3 linked regions of the Bombyx mori genome follow. The protein of the gene in region 2 purifies or fractionates together with the protein of the main gene of each other region. This does not show direct contact. Links are inferred from orthologs where the notes say so. Each region holds a gene or a part of one and is shown on either strand. Other genes may lie near its edges.

The links.
Region 1: the proteins of epidermal growth factor receptor (region 2) and SHC-transforming protein 1 purify together in Drosophila melanogaster (affinity purification with western blotting; 3 studies listed by BioGRID). This does not show direct contact. The link is inferred for Bombyx mori from reciprocal best matches to the Drosophila melanogaster genes Egfr and Shc.
Region 3: the proteins of epidermal growth factor receptor (region 2) and DRK purify together in Drosophila melanogaster (affinity purification with western blotting; 4 studies listed by BioGRID, with this or other methods). This does not show direct contact. The link is inferred for Bombyx mori from reciprocal best matches to the Drosophila melanogaster genes Egfr and drk.

What each region holds. Positions count from the first base shown.
Region 1 is NC_085111.1:5,633,674-5,637,330, reverse strand, and holds part of SHC-transforming protein 1, read left to right. Parts: intron 1-1,608; coding exon 1,609-1,782; intron 1,783-3,657.
Region 2 is NC_085107.1:5,369,706-5,373,868, forward strand, and holds the start of epidermal growth factor receptor, read right to left. Parts: upstream 2,887-4,163; 5' UTR 2,713-2,886; coding exon 2,583-2,712; intron 1-2,582. UniProt on the Drosophila melanogaster protein: Receptor tyrosine kinase, binding ligands of the EGF family and activating several signaling cascades to convert extracellular cues into appropriate cellular responses. Known ligands include spitz, gurken, vein and giant-lens.
Region 3 is NC_085123.1:5,830,535-5,834,862, reverse strand, and holds the start of DRK (DRK protein), read left to right. Parts: upstream 1-1,377; coding exon 1,378-1,455; intron 1,456-1,533; coding exon 1,534-1,631; intron 1,632-3,014; coding exon 3,015-3,134; intron 3,135-4,328.

The sequences.
Region 1 (3,657 bases), on a different chromosome or scaffold from region 2:
ATTTTTTTAATTTTAATATGCGACTAATGTGGGTCATCCGTTCATTCAATGTAAATTACTTAAATTAACAAGCAATGTGAAATGTAAATGTAAAAGAAAATGTCAAAGCTCAAATGCATTGTTAGAGAATTTTAAAATGTAAAAATATCAGTACAAAGATATTCTGCGAAAGCCCAATTACGTATACTGGACCATATAAAGCCAAAGCTCCATGTGTAATGAGTCATAATTTGAAAGTTTTCCTCATATGAAGTCATCATTCCTAATATACCAATTTGTGTCACATAGTCTGTCTGACCCGCTTGAATTATAGCAAAGGTATTGTGATCATGAATGATTACAAATGATTGCTTTATCATAATGTTATTCATTTTAGAACTAAATAGACCTAATGACCCGTGAATAAGCTATTGGATAATCTATTAATGTGGATACTATATTATTTTCGTGAGGGATTTCCAAGGGAGATGAAAGTATTAATAATGCAAATGGTTTCTATATTAGCTATGAAATGACGTAATTCGTGCTAACTGTACCATGTGAAACGAGAAATAAATTATCTAAACTAATGTTGCTTCTAAATAAATTAAAATAAAATATAGTTTATCATCATTAGATAACCTTGAACCATTTGTATTATCAACGCAAACTTATGTCCGTAAGCATTCATTGAATTCGATGAGTAACAATCATGCAGTATCCTTAGGTATTTATGAATCACTCATTCAGAACTTGTTAGGAAACGTATTATGACCTGCAAGAATTCTGTGTGTATTATGTGTAAATGCGAACTGTGGGCACTGAATTTGCGGAAGACTAGTCACAATCGACCAGCAACACTATTGATAGCAGGGTGTTTCATTCGCCTGCAGGGTATGCTAACATCGCTCGTCTAGCTATCTCTGCTTAGAAACCACCTTGCGTTCCCGCTTAAGTTGGGGCTTGAGTATTACTATAAGCCAATAGACGTTTTAGTGGTAGATGTCATCATCCTGCTTATTTCTGTCGCGAATCGGTAATTCGCTCCGGTTCTAAGGGTGGAGCAGTTGTTGACTTTAAAGTTGAAACTTAAAGTCGTTTCCAATGTAACTGGTTAACACTAGTGAAGGCTGCGAAGTGCTGCCACCTGTTTACTTCGAATCGGTTCGCATTATTCTTTTTCGATAAATACATCACTACACATACCGAAACACATACAATTTTTTTTTATTACCCTTGTAGGCAGACGAGCATACGGCCCACCTGATGGTGAGTGGTTACCGTCGCCCATGGACTTCAGCAATACCAGGGACAGAGCCAAGCCGCTGCCTACCGCTTAATATTCTCCACAAGCCTCGTTTGAAGAAGGACATGTCATAGCGCTCGGGAAACACCGTGGAGGGGAGCTCATTCCATAGCCGGATGGTACGTGGCAAAAAGACCTTTGGAAACGCACTGTGGATGACCGCAGTGGCTCCAGGTAGTATAAAATAATAATTCGCGACACCATCACTGACCTTGAAACAGTAGGCCAAGAGGACTGTCCGAGTTTCAGATAGTGAGACCTATTAAAAGATCATCCCCCTAGTTACGCACCATAAATATATCGTATTGTAATGTTTCCAACAGATTAAATCTCAATGGATCTCTGCCCAGCTGCGAAAGCGCTTGTGGGCTAGTGGAGGACAGAGAGTATTACAACGACATGCCGGACAAGGTGCCGCCCGAGCTGGCGCCGACTTCGCACCGCCACCCCCCGCCCCCGCCCCTCGCCTCGCTGACGTCACTCGCACCGCTCTCCTCGTACGTAAAAGATCAATTAAAAACATCGAACTGTTAATACCAAATAAAACGCACCTTTAATAATATTACAAAGTTAAATTTCGCGTATTAAGCGAAATGTCACTTAAGCCCTTCAACCCTCGATATATATTTTGATACACACGATCCGTATGTTTTTATGTGAATTCTAAGCTATTATTTAGTGCTCAGATTTTGGAAAACGATGCAATCAGAAGTTATAATAAACTACTCATATTTAATCTGAATACATTTTGACCTATAATACCCTGAGTTGGCCTGGCCTCTAATGCTAAGTTACATAGGCGGCACTGAAAATTTCGGGAATTCACGAAGTGATACAACATTACTATTTAAAAATGTATTTATTGCTTTTCGAAGTATTCTCCGCGAAATTTGACACATTTTTCCATACGATGGAACCAATCATTGAAGCAACCATTCCATTCGGAAGTTGGGGTCTCCAAAATGTCCGTTTTGTAGGCGTCCACATCTTCTTCAAGTGATGAAAATCTCTGTCCACGCAATTTATTCTTTATTTTAGGGAAAGTATAGAAATCATTAGGGCTTAGGTCGGGGCTGTACGGCGGACGCTCTAATAATTCTATGTTTTCTTGCTCTAAAAACTCTTTTGTTCTGTGCGCGGTGTGAGAACTCGCATTGTCGTGATGGAGGATGATGCGGCGGTTGCAGTTCTCTTTACGGAGTTCAGAAACGACCTGTGGCAAACAAATGCTAGCATACCATTCTGCATTAACCGTTCTTTGTCCCTCAAGAGTAATAGTCGTAACATGGCCGGTTTTGAAGACAAACGTGGCCACCATTTTTTTTGCAACACTCCGTGAACGAACAATTTTTGTTGGCTTTAACTCATTTTCGAACACCCAAACTCGTGACTGGTTTTTTGTTTCGGGTTCGTACGCGTATATCCAGGATTCGTCACCTGATACAATGTTGTATACAGCATTTGAGGATCCTGCATGGAATCTTTCGAGAGTTCTGACGCACCAAGTAACGCGAGCCGCTTTTTGCTCTTCACAGAGCGAATGCGGTATCCATCGGGAAAACAACTTTTTTACACCTAATTGTTCATGCAAGATTATTAGTATTTGACTCATGCCAATGTCTAAAGTTGCCTGAATTTCGCGGTATGTCACATGTCGATCTTCCTCAATCAGCTTACGCACAGCATCAACGTTTTCTTGGGTGACTGCAGTTTTTGGACGACCTTGACGGGGATCATCACTGAGCTTGATACGTCCACGTTGAAACTCAGCAAACCAGCGATAAATTGTGGTTTTGGATGGGGCTTCATCATCAAATGCAGAAATCATCCGGTCAACACACTGTTTTTGTGTTAAATCACTTCAAAGTCATAATAAATCATCGCTCTTGAATTTTCTCGAGTCAATTCCATTTTCTCAACGACTAAACAAGTTTGACAAAACCTCGTGACAAGACCGAGAATCTTTTTTTAAAGAAATAAATGGGATTCGATTTTTAAAACCAAGGAGATTTCGATTAAAAAAATTTTAATATGACAGGAACAGTGGAAATATTCCATTCCCGATACTTTTAGTGCAGCCCTCGTATAATGATAGTGAATAGAGAAGAATTTAATTCGACACGCCACCTAATCGATATATTTTAATTTGAACGTTACAATTCAGTTACAATTCAATTAGGACTTGAAGCTCGTGGTGTATAATGGATGGCAACATTATTGATGTGTCGTATGGTAGCGCTGTATATAGCTTGGTTTTTTTTTTTCGAAGTCCAGTGAGATCTCAGTTACGGGTTACCATTTCAGTGAAAAGTCACTTCATTCCAACTAATTTTACTTCTATCCTTAAAGATATAGCTTCAGTCTAAGAATAT
Region 2 (4,163 bases):
AATCATTTCGATAGCGAAGATCATCTTGATTTTAGATGTACAAAATTAATAAAGCTATCGGGAACTAATCCACTATGGTTTTCACGAATCACTTAACACTGGTGGCACCCATGCAAAAAATTTTTAAAACTAATACTTCGATTAATTTTATACGAACGTATTAAATTACAAACTATATAAACGAAGGTCATCATTTTCCCACACAAAAATCTAATATTAAAATAATTTAAGTGTGGAATTTAGAACGAAGTTTTATGAACTAAGAAATGTTAATGAATTCGAATATAACATTTCTAAATTTTTTTAAAAGAACATAATCATTGAAATAACTATCAAGATACCGTTATTTTGCCATTGATGCGTCACAAATTGTTCAAAACATTCGATTCTAACGATTCATCAGCATTCCAAAGCAAAAGTAGGCAATTGCTTGTCGTTTGACTTTTCTTTTGATGAAATTACAAATTCCAATTACGAATGACGATATTTACCTGTCTAATGAATTATCGACACTATATGTACAACAATGTAGTTCAAAACAGTTTAAGCGTGCCAATGCTTTCTCAAGCCTGCCAATAAAAAAATGTTGTACCAATAAAATAAAATAAAAAATACAACGAAGTTTTCGCTAAACTCAAACCAATGACTATAATAAAACAATAGGCCATTGAGTCGCGGTTATAAAAATAATGTTTGGTGTTTTTTTTTTCAGAGCAGCTAAATAAAACGTGCTTTATTTTTGGCAATAATATAAAGCTCCATTGTAAGTTTCAGTCCTTCACAACTCAGACTAACTGATTTGAGTGATTGTAGATTTCATAGTTACTGCTGCTTAAGATTTACGGCAATAATGATACTGCTTTGTTACAATACGGGACCAGAGCAGACTTTGGAATAAATAATAAAAGTGAAAAAATATATGACTTCCTACCTTGACATAAAGTCCATATCTGTGCGACATTCCGAGTTATCCTCACTTACCCTCTTCATACAAATAACTAAGTGAGATTTATGCTTTATTTATAATTTATTATTATATCTACACCAAGAAACGGCAGAGGTCACAACTCATTACCAAGATTTTCAATTGATATTATGTATGTGATAAAGGTATCGTATTTGTATGTAAATTATCAGAGAATTCAATTAAATTTGTTTATCACATACAAGATGTCAGAGATCGTTTAAAATAATTAATTAGCTAACAAACATTATTTATGTTTGATTACCCGCGTATGCGATATGTTGAGAAAAACACCTTTATTATTGCCTTGGCTTCAATTATCTAATACAAATGGAGCTAATCTTATTGGTAAAACAATACTCAGGACTCTATTGCGTGTATTTGTTGCTAGAGAATTGTCAATAATTTGGTTATTACGCGCCTTAAATATATACTACAGTGGGCGTGTGTGTGTGTGTGTTGTGGCGCCAATATTTTTATGGCGACATTTATTGAATTTTTTTTTTGCTTTTCACGTAAGCTGCAGACTATTTTTAGGAAAATTTGACTATACACATATAATTTTACACATATTACTTTTAGTGGGTAGTTTAGCTGTGTCACTAATTGTAGATGTTCGCGGAGATGGTGACCGCTTGCTAACAAGTAGATCATATGCTATAGTATTCACTGGAGAAATTACATAAATGTTTGTAGTCCTGAACATGCTTGTCTGTCTGGATAGTATTTTTTTAATAGATTGACAACTACGAAGACGCTGTCATTTTATTGTTGGTATTTTTTTGTTTATTGTAACAAATGTATATTAGATATGCGTTTTAAATTTAGCGTTCGATCCCCCCCCCCTGTAAATTTGTTATTGCATTATATCTCGCTTATAAATCTATACAATTTTTTGCTTAAGGTAAACAACAAAAACATCCGTACCGTACCGTACCGTACCTTAAAATATACCGTAGTAAAGCTTTTGTTTGCTGTGCTTTAATGCAAGCTTCTATCAGATGAAAACCTTTATTTTCATTCATTAGGCTTATTATAGGATTTCTCGTGAGCAAATGATCTTTAAAAAATATATTTTAAGAAATCACGTTGGCTTACCATGCCATCATCAAGCTTAAGTTCAATAACAAGTATATTTGTTAAAGTTTTAAAATAAATTTAACACGATCTTAGCATGGCACATAAAAGCTGCACAAGCGTGGAAGTCAGAACGCTTAACAAAAGCGCACCTTGCCTATTTAAAACTGGTCTCAAAGGAGTTCGAGTCGCATCCTTTTGACGCTCCCTGAGAGAACATTGTCACAGGCAAGATGTGATTTAATTGTTTCGCGTTGACGGGCCATGCTTGCGCACAGCCTCTCGTTCAGTTCACTGTACCGACACCCAGCTTTCCGAACTATATAAGGCTACGTCTGTAGCCTCGAGATAAGCTTTGTTTATTTTATTGCCGCGATTAGACCGTACTAAGTCTATTGCTACAAGTTTATGGCGCTATTTTACAGCTTTGTTCCACCGATTGAGGTCACGTTACAAACGTACACTACATTTGTTTTTTTTTGTTTTTTTTTTTTCTTTCACAATTTATAATACACGCACTGGATCCGTGGGCGGCACTTACTTTTTCCTTTAACGAATTCCGAATGTTTATGTCTTGAGTTGACGGGATGGTGGTTGCGGTGTTTGGCGGCGTCCACCGTCCCGAAAGCGGCAAGGCACAGGCACCACAACAAGGCACGAGCAGCGACCATGCTGCGACATCACTCGCGAAGCTGCCTCAGACACGAGCGCCCGGCACTAACTTCCATCGTGTACTGGCCCGGCCGGTTTCTGGAGGCTTGCGTTGCGCGGGCGCACCCACAGATCTAACGCTTTTCAGACTCGTTACCGCAATGATCGACACTTTGGGCGGGAAATTTGGTTTTCTTGTACATATCCTTGAATGGATATCTTTGACGTGATAAGATCGTGCACGATGAGATAAAAAGTAATTACGTATGTTTCTATTTAAAAGCGAAATCTTTGATAAAGATACGGTCAAAAGCTCGCACCGATCTAAAACAGCACCTACTCATTTAAAACCGAAAATAAGCCATTATTTAAAGAAACACCAAAATTACTTAATCATTTACTAATGCAAGCTCTAAATAAATTGTAACAGGTATAACGCGTGTTTAATGTGTGTTAGGGAACAGCACTGCCGATTCTAAACATCACTAGTTCTACAGTCCCTTACTCCCTCTCCGAAGCACAGGTAAACGTCGAGAAAGACTCAGGTATGCGTTGGACTAAAAAAAAAAGCCACCACGTAATAAAACTTAATAACTACGCATTGTGGCCCGTGCTGGTGTTGATAAACCGGACTGTTTAACTCGAGTGCACCGAAAGTGTTCTCTTGGGGAATCCAAATGTAACCTTGGGTAACCGTAAATTACGAACAGGAATCAACTATGTACTCCTTTTATTTATCCTATCCAAGCAATCCTATCCAAGCATTTGTTTACTATATTTTTAGGATGTGCTATCCAGCACTTGAGACGAAACAAATTTCTTCATCAAATTGCTGTTTGGACGGAGAGGTTATTAGTTAATTCTAATTTGTTTGGAAGCAGCACGGCACATGTCCAACTGCAAACTATAAATTAAAGTGTTTCGAGTTATGTAAATATGTGTTATGGGACACAAAAGTAACTCTTAACGTACGCTTGAGACTATAAAATTATAAAGGTAGATTAAACTCGTTTTTATGGTTAATGCTTGATGCTTTCGAAGAAAAAATGCTATTGAATTTTATCGATTCACATAAATTCGTGTTATGTCAGGAACTGAAATCAAAACATTTTTGATGTCAATAATCAAAACGCACAAATATTGCAATTAATTTTAACTTAAAAGAAAATAGGTCACGCTTCGAATTGGAGACCGATACGGGAGGTTATTTTTTATAAACTAATTGAAATATATTATTAAAGAATGCAGTATTATCAGATACATACTCCTACGTTCAGTTTGAATACTGTTATTATAATTGTTTGTTTAAATAAAATTTTAAAAATTTGACTAAAATTCGCCCTTTTCTTGTAAGCATGCATGAATGCATTTTTTCTGTTAAAAATTTTGATATCTACTTATGTACCTCATTCATCAGATAGTATAGTATTTTTAGTAATATTATACGAAGAAGGCAATGCACTACAAAATT
Region 3 (4,328 bases), on a different chromosome or scaffold from region 2:
AGCAAAATTGTATTTTTGTAAGCAGATTTTTTATTATGAATTTTTCAAAATTAATTTTGCAGTTGTAAATAAAATTAAGTACATGCTATTGCCCTTATTTTTTTGGATAGCAATAAACTGTTTCTGTTTGGCAAAAATATGTTACAATTTACTGATTATAGTCCTCCATTTAAGTGGTAATTATTTCACGTATCGGAACTTTTGTATCATATTAAACTTGATGCCGGCTAGAAAGGCAAAGGCAGTTATTACTAGAATCCAATTGCTAGTTTGAACCTCATGTCATAATTTGGCATTCATGTTTTGATGTCTATGAGCTTCGGTAACCACATCAAACTAGGCGGGCTTTGATCTCGCTCACGCGTTCAAGCAAATAAATAGCAAAAATAAACACAACAGTAACGAAATGTAAAATAGTGATTATTTGTAAGATAATATCGATGAAGTTAAAGAATATTTCATCACAACCACAATATTTAAAAAAAATATGGTGCGTGTACAACTTGGTGCACGTGAAAAAAGGGAAACTTCTTTTGTGGTGTGTAGTATTGTGGTTTTCTTCATTTTTCATCTTTAAATCAAATTTCCCCATTAATAAGGAATGCTATATATAAGATAAACTATCTAGCTCACTTTGTCCTTTCCCTCTCTCCACGGTCGAGTGGTTCATGAGACGCTCTGTCTATTTTCTCACTCTCGGTCTTCCTTAATGAGAAATATGTATATGCTGAAAGTGAAAAAAAATTAGCCAAGTTACCATTCAGGCAATATCATTTTGTGGTCTTTAATGGCAAGTCGTCCTTCGTCCATAGTCGTCCTTCTAGTCTACATTCTGCTGAAAAGTTTAAATTTAGACCTAAGTTTTGATGGCAATTCGTCTCTTAAACTTAGTTGGGGCGTCTGAATCTAAATCTTTTAGTCAATTTCAATATTTTCATAATGAATTAGGTTTTTAAATTCATCTACATGTTTTACGAATCCTTATAGTAGACGATTCTTATAAGTGAGATCCAATTCAAATGTAGAATGAATTTGTTTTTAGTCTTTACAGGTAAAGTTGATGTTATGTTCCTTGCCAGTATCAAAAACACACATGAATGCAAGTAAATTTTCGAGCTAAAAACACAGCTGCAAAGTGGCAACATTTTGATTTTTTTGTCAATTTGTAAAGTGAGTGATGTGTTGAGTACAGACGGATTCCGATTGGGTTTTTCTAAATTTGTAACTAAAACGCATCTTTTTTATTCAACATTGTGAGACAATACGTGCATTATGATTATTTTACTTCCTTGACATTAGACATTTTGGAAAGTTTGTGTACTTTAAGAGTTATTTTTAAGAATTCGGTGACATTTCAGTGAAGTGCCTAATTTGATCATGGAGGCTCTAGCAAAACACGATTTTACTGCAACCGCAGATGATGAGCTCAGTTTTAGAAAAAATCAAGTATTAAAAGTAAGTTAAATATTTATTTAACTTTTTGTTTTGTTTAATACCTAGCGATAGTTCTTTCTAGAATGGTTCCTATTGCAGATTCTAAACATGGAGGACGATATGAACTGGTACAGAGCTGAATTAGACGGGAAAGAAGGGCTCATTCCTAGTAATTACATACAAATGAAAAATCACAGGTAAGTGGGATATCTAATATTTCTAGTCTTAAAATTATAACTGATACTTATAACGATTTTAAAATATTCTTAATTAAAATAACCAGTTTATTTTTGACTTAGGTTTTATTTGTGAAAGCAAGAAGATATTGCTCTTGTGTAGCTATGTAGAGATCTCAGATAAAATTTAGAAAAAGAATGTTTTCATTTCATTCCAAACATTTGCTGAAGAAAACTGATAATGTAAACATTGTTTGTTTATAATTAAACTTGGGCTGGTCTACTCATTTTTATTTACATTTAACTACTATGGTATCCGGAGAGTGTTGCCAAACCTAATCTACAAAGTCATTTCATTATTCTTTAGAAGAAGAACATACAAAATGAATGTTATTTATAGATACACAACAGAAATTTCATGTAACTTACCAGCTGCCACTAAACTAATCAACAAATGTTTGTTTACATTACCAATTGTAATAATAAAAGCCAAAGTGTCTTTAAACATATGAAGTGTATTTTGAAAGGAGAAAACAATATTTGATTTCAAAGTAAATTATAAATTTGGTGTATTTTTTATTACACAATTAAGAATTACGAAAAGTGCTTTTTTTATTTGAGTACTAAACTTTATTTCATGATTCTCAATGAGAAAAGATTTGAATAGATAGAAGGTAGTTATTAAACATATATTAAAGAGAATGGTCTCTTCAACTAGAATCTGATTATACATCAGAAATAAACCTGTTGATTTTGTAAGTGCTAATGCTTTGCCAAGCAATAAAATTAATGTGAAGGCTATGCCTGAAGTGATACAAATGCTCCTTTAATTCATAGTGTTGAGTAGTACTATAATATGAATGCAGAACATACTACCATGACCACCTAATTTGAGATGTGAGATGCAGTATCAATTGCATTGTGATAATAACTGTCCTAAGGTTCAAACCTAAAGGCACAATTGCTGCAAGACAAATATGGTATACAGAGACACACATACAGTGTATGCTTACAGCATACCTGACCACCAAAAACTACTATTAGTAATAATAGTAATAAAAATTCTAAATATTTGTAGAACATTTACTTATTTTTTGTTTATACCTTACTGGTGTATTGTGTGGTGTATATTGTATCAGCTAGACTGGAAGAGAAATCTAAGCACATCCAGTGCATCGACTTAATGAATTGGATGTCAGAATGAGGTCACAAACCACCTTGTGTCAAGTAGTTACAGGAGCTTATAGATATTACGGTGTAAATTCTCACTATCCACCAGTTTTAAGGATTAAAAACTGTCTTGGGACATATTAAAAAAAAACCATAATTTTTAAGTAATTATTAATTTGAAAATAGTAAGTATTTGTATTTTAAAGGTGTGCCTACATAACCTCTCTTTTTCAGTTGGTATTATGGGCGTATTACAAGAGCAGATGCAGAAAAACTCTTAGCAAACAAACCTGAAGGTGGCTTCTTGATAAGGATCAGCGAATCAAGCCCTGGCGACTTCTCCTTATCAGTCAAGTAAGTCCTTTGTATTTTTACATGTAATGTTTATTATTTTTCACAGTAATAATAATCATTATTTATTATTTCTCTTTTAAAGTTATAGTACAAATACAAATAGAGATTAACCTTACAATTTATTTTGTTAGCCTTTGAAAGAACTGCAGTCTGTACTAGGTTCAAAGACCTGTATTACTGATCTCCAGGCTCCCTGCTTCTTAGGATAGATTAGGCTAGGTTAAGTCATGAACAGATGTCGCAGACTAAGTGTTGAGAGATCATTAGGTGTTATCATTTAAGTAGATATCAGTAGTTATCATTCCAACAGAAGACCGTTCATTATTATTATTTAAATAAACAATTTTATCTGGATGGAATGTTTTCTGTATGTTTGCATGTAAATAACTTAGTGTTTCTCTAAATGTTTTATCAATAGAGTCTATTAGTAATAAAATAAAAAGCTCCCTTATGTAATACTTATAAAACTAATATTGTATGTATATAGTATATTACAGCTTATAACTAAGGGAAAATTGTCTTTGTCTTAACAGAAAAATACATTATAGCAATGCTATCTAAAAATATATATTGGAATCACAATAACATTTACATTTTAAGTTCAGGTGAATGACCAGCATTTGCATCCACGGGTCACTGCAGTATAAATAAAGTAAATGAAGAGTAAAAAGAACCATCTATAGTCTTATGCAATTTAACATTGAAAAACCATTATAAGATAAATGTATTTAGGACGTCAGAAAATGTAATGTGTAAATAAATACTTTGTAAATGTAGTTTTAACCATGTGTGCGAATTCTAAAACTGAGTGAATATTAAAACATTTTATCTATTCATGGAAGGTTGGTCATAAGATAGATAGAGAACTTGATAAATTCAGAATTTTTCTTATCTCAATAATAAGAAAAATACACCATCTGAAATACGTACAAATAAATACATTCCATCCTTATCAAATTTTCTAGAATGACTAAACTTTATTTCCTTCTACAGTCAACAATAAAGAAAAAAAACAAACTATGACAAATACAATACTACTCATTTTACTTGTAAAGCTGTAAAATTTACCTCATATTCATCATGTGAACTAGTTCTGTTGAGTTTCTGTAGGCTTCTGTAATCACTTAACACCAGATGGGCCGTGAATCTGTTCACCCATCTGTTCAGCTAAAATAAATTGTTGTTGTAATAAAT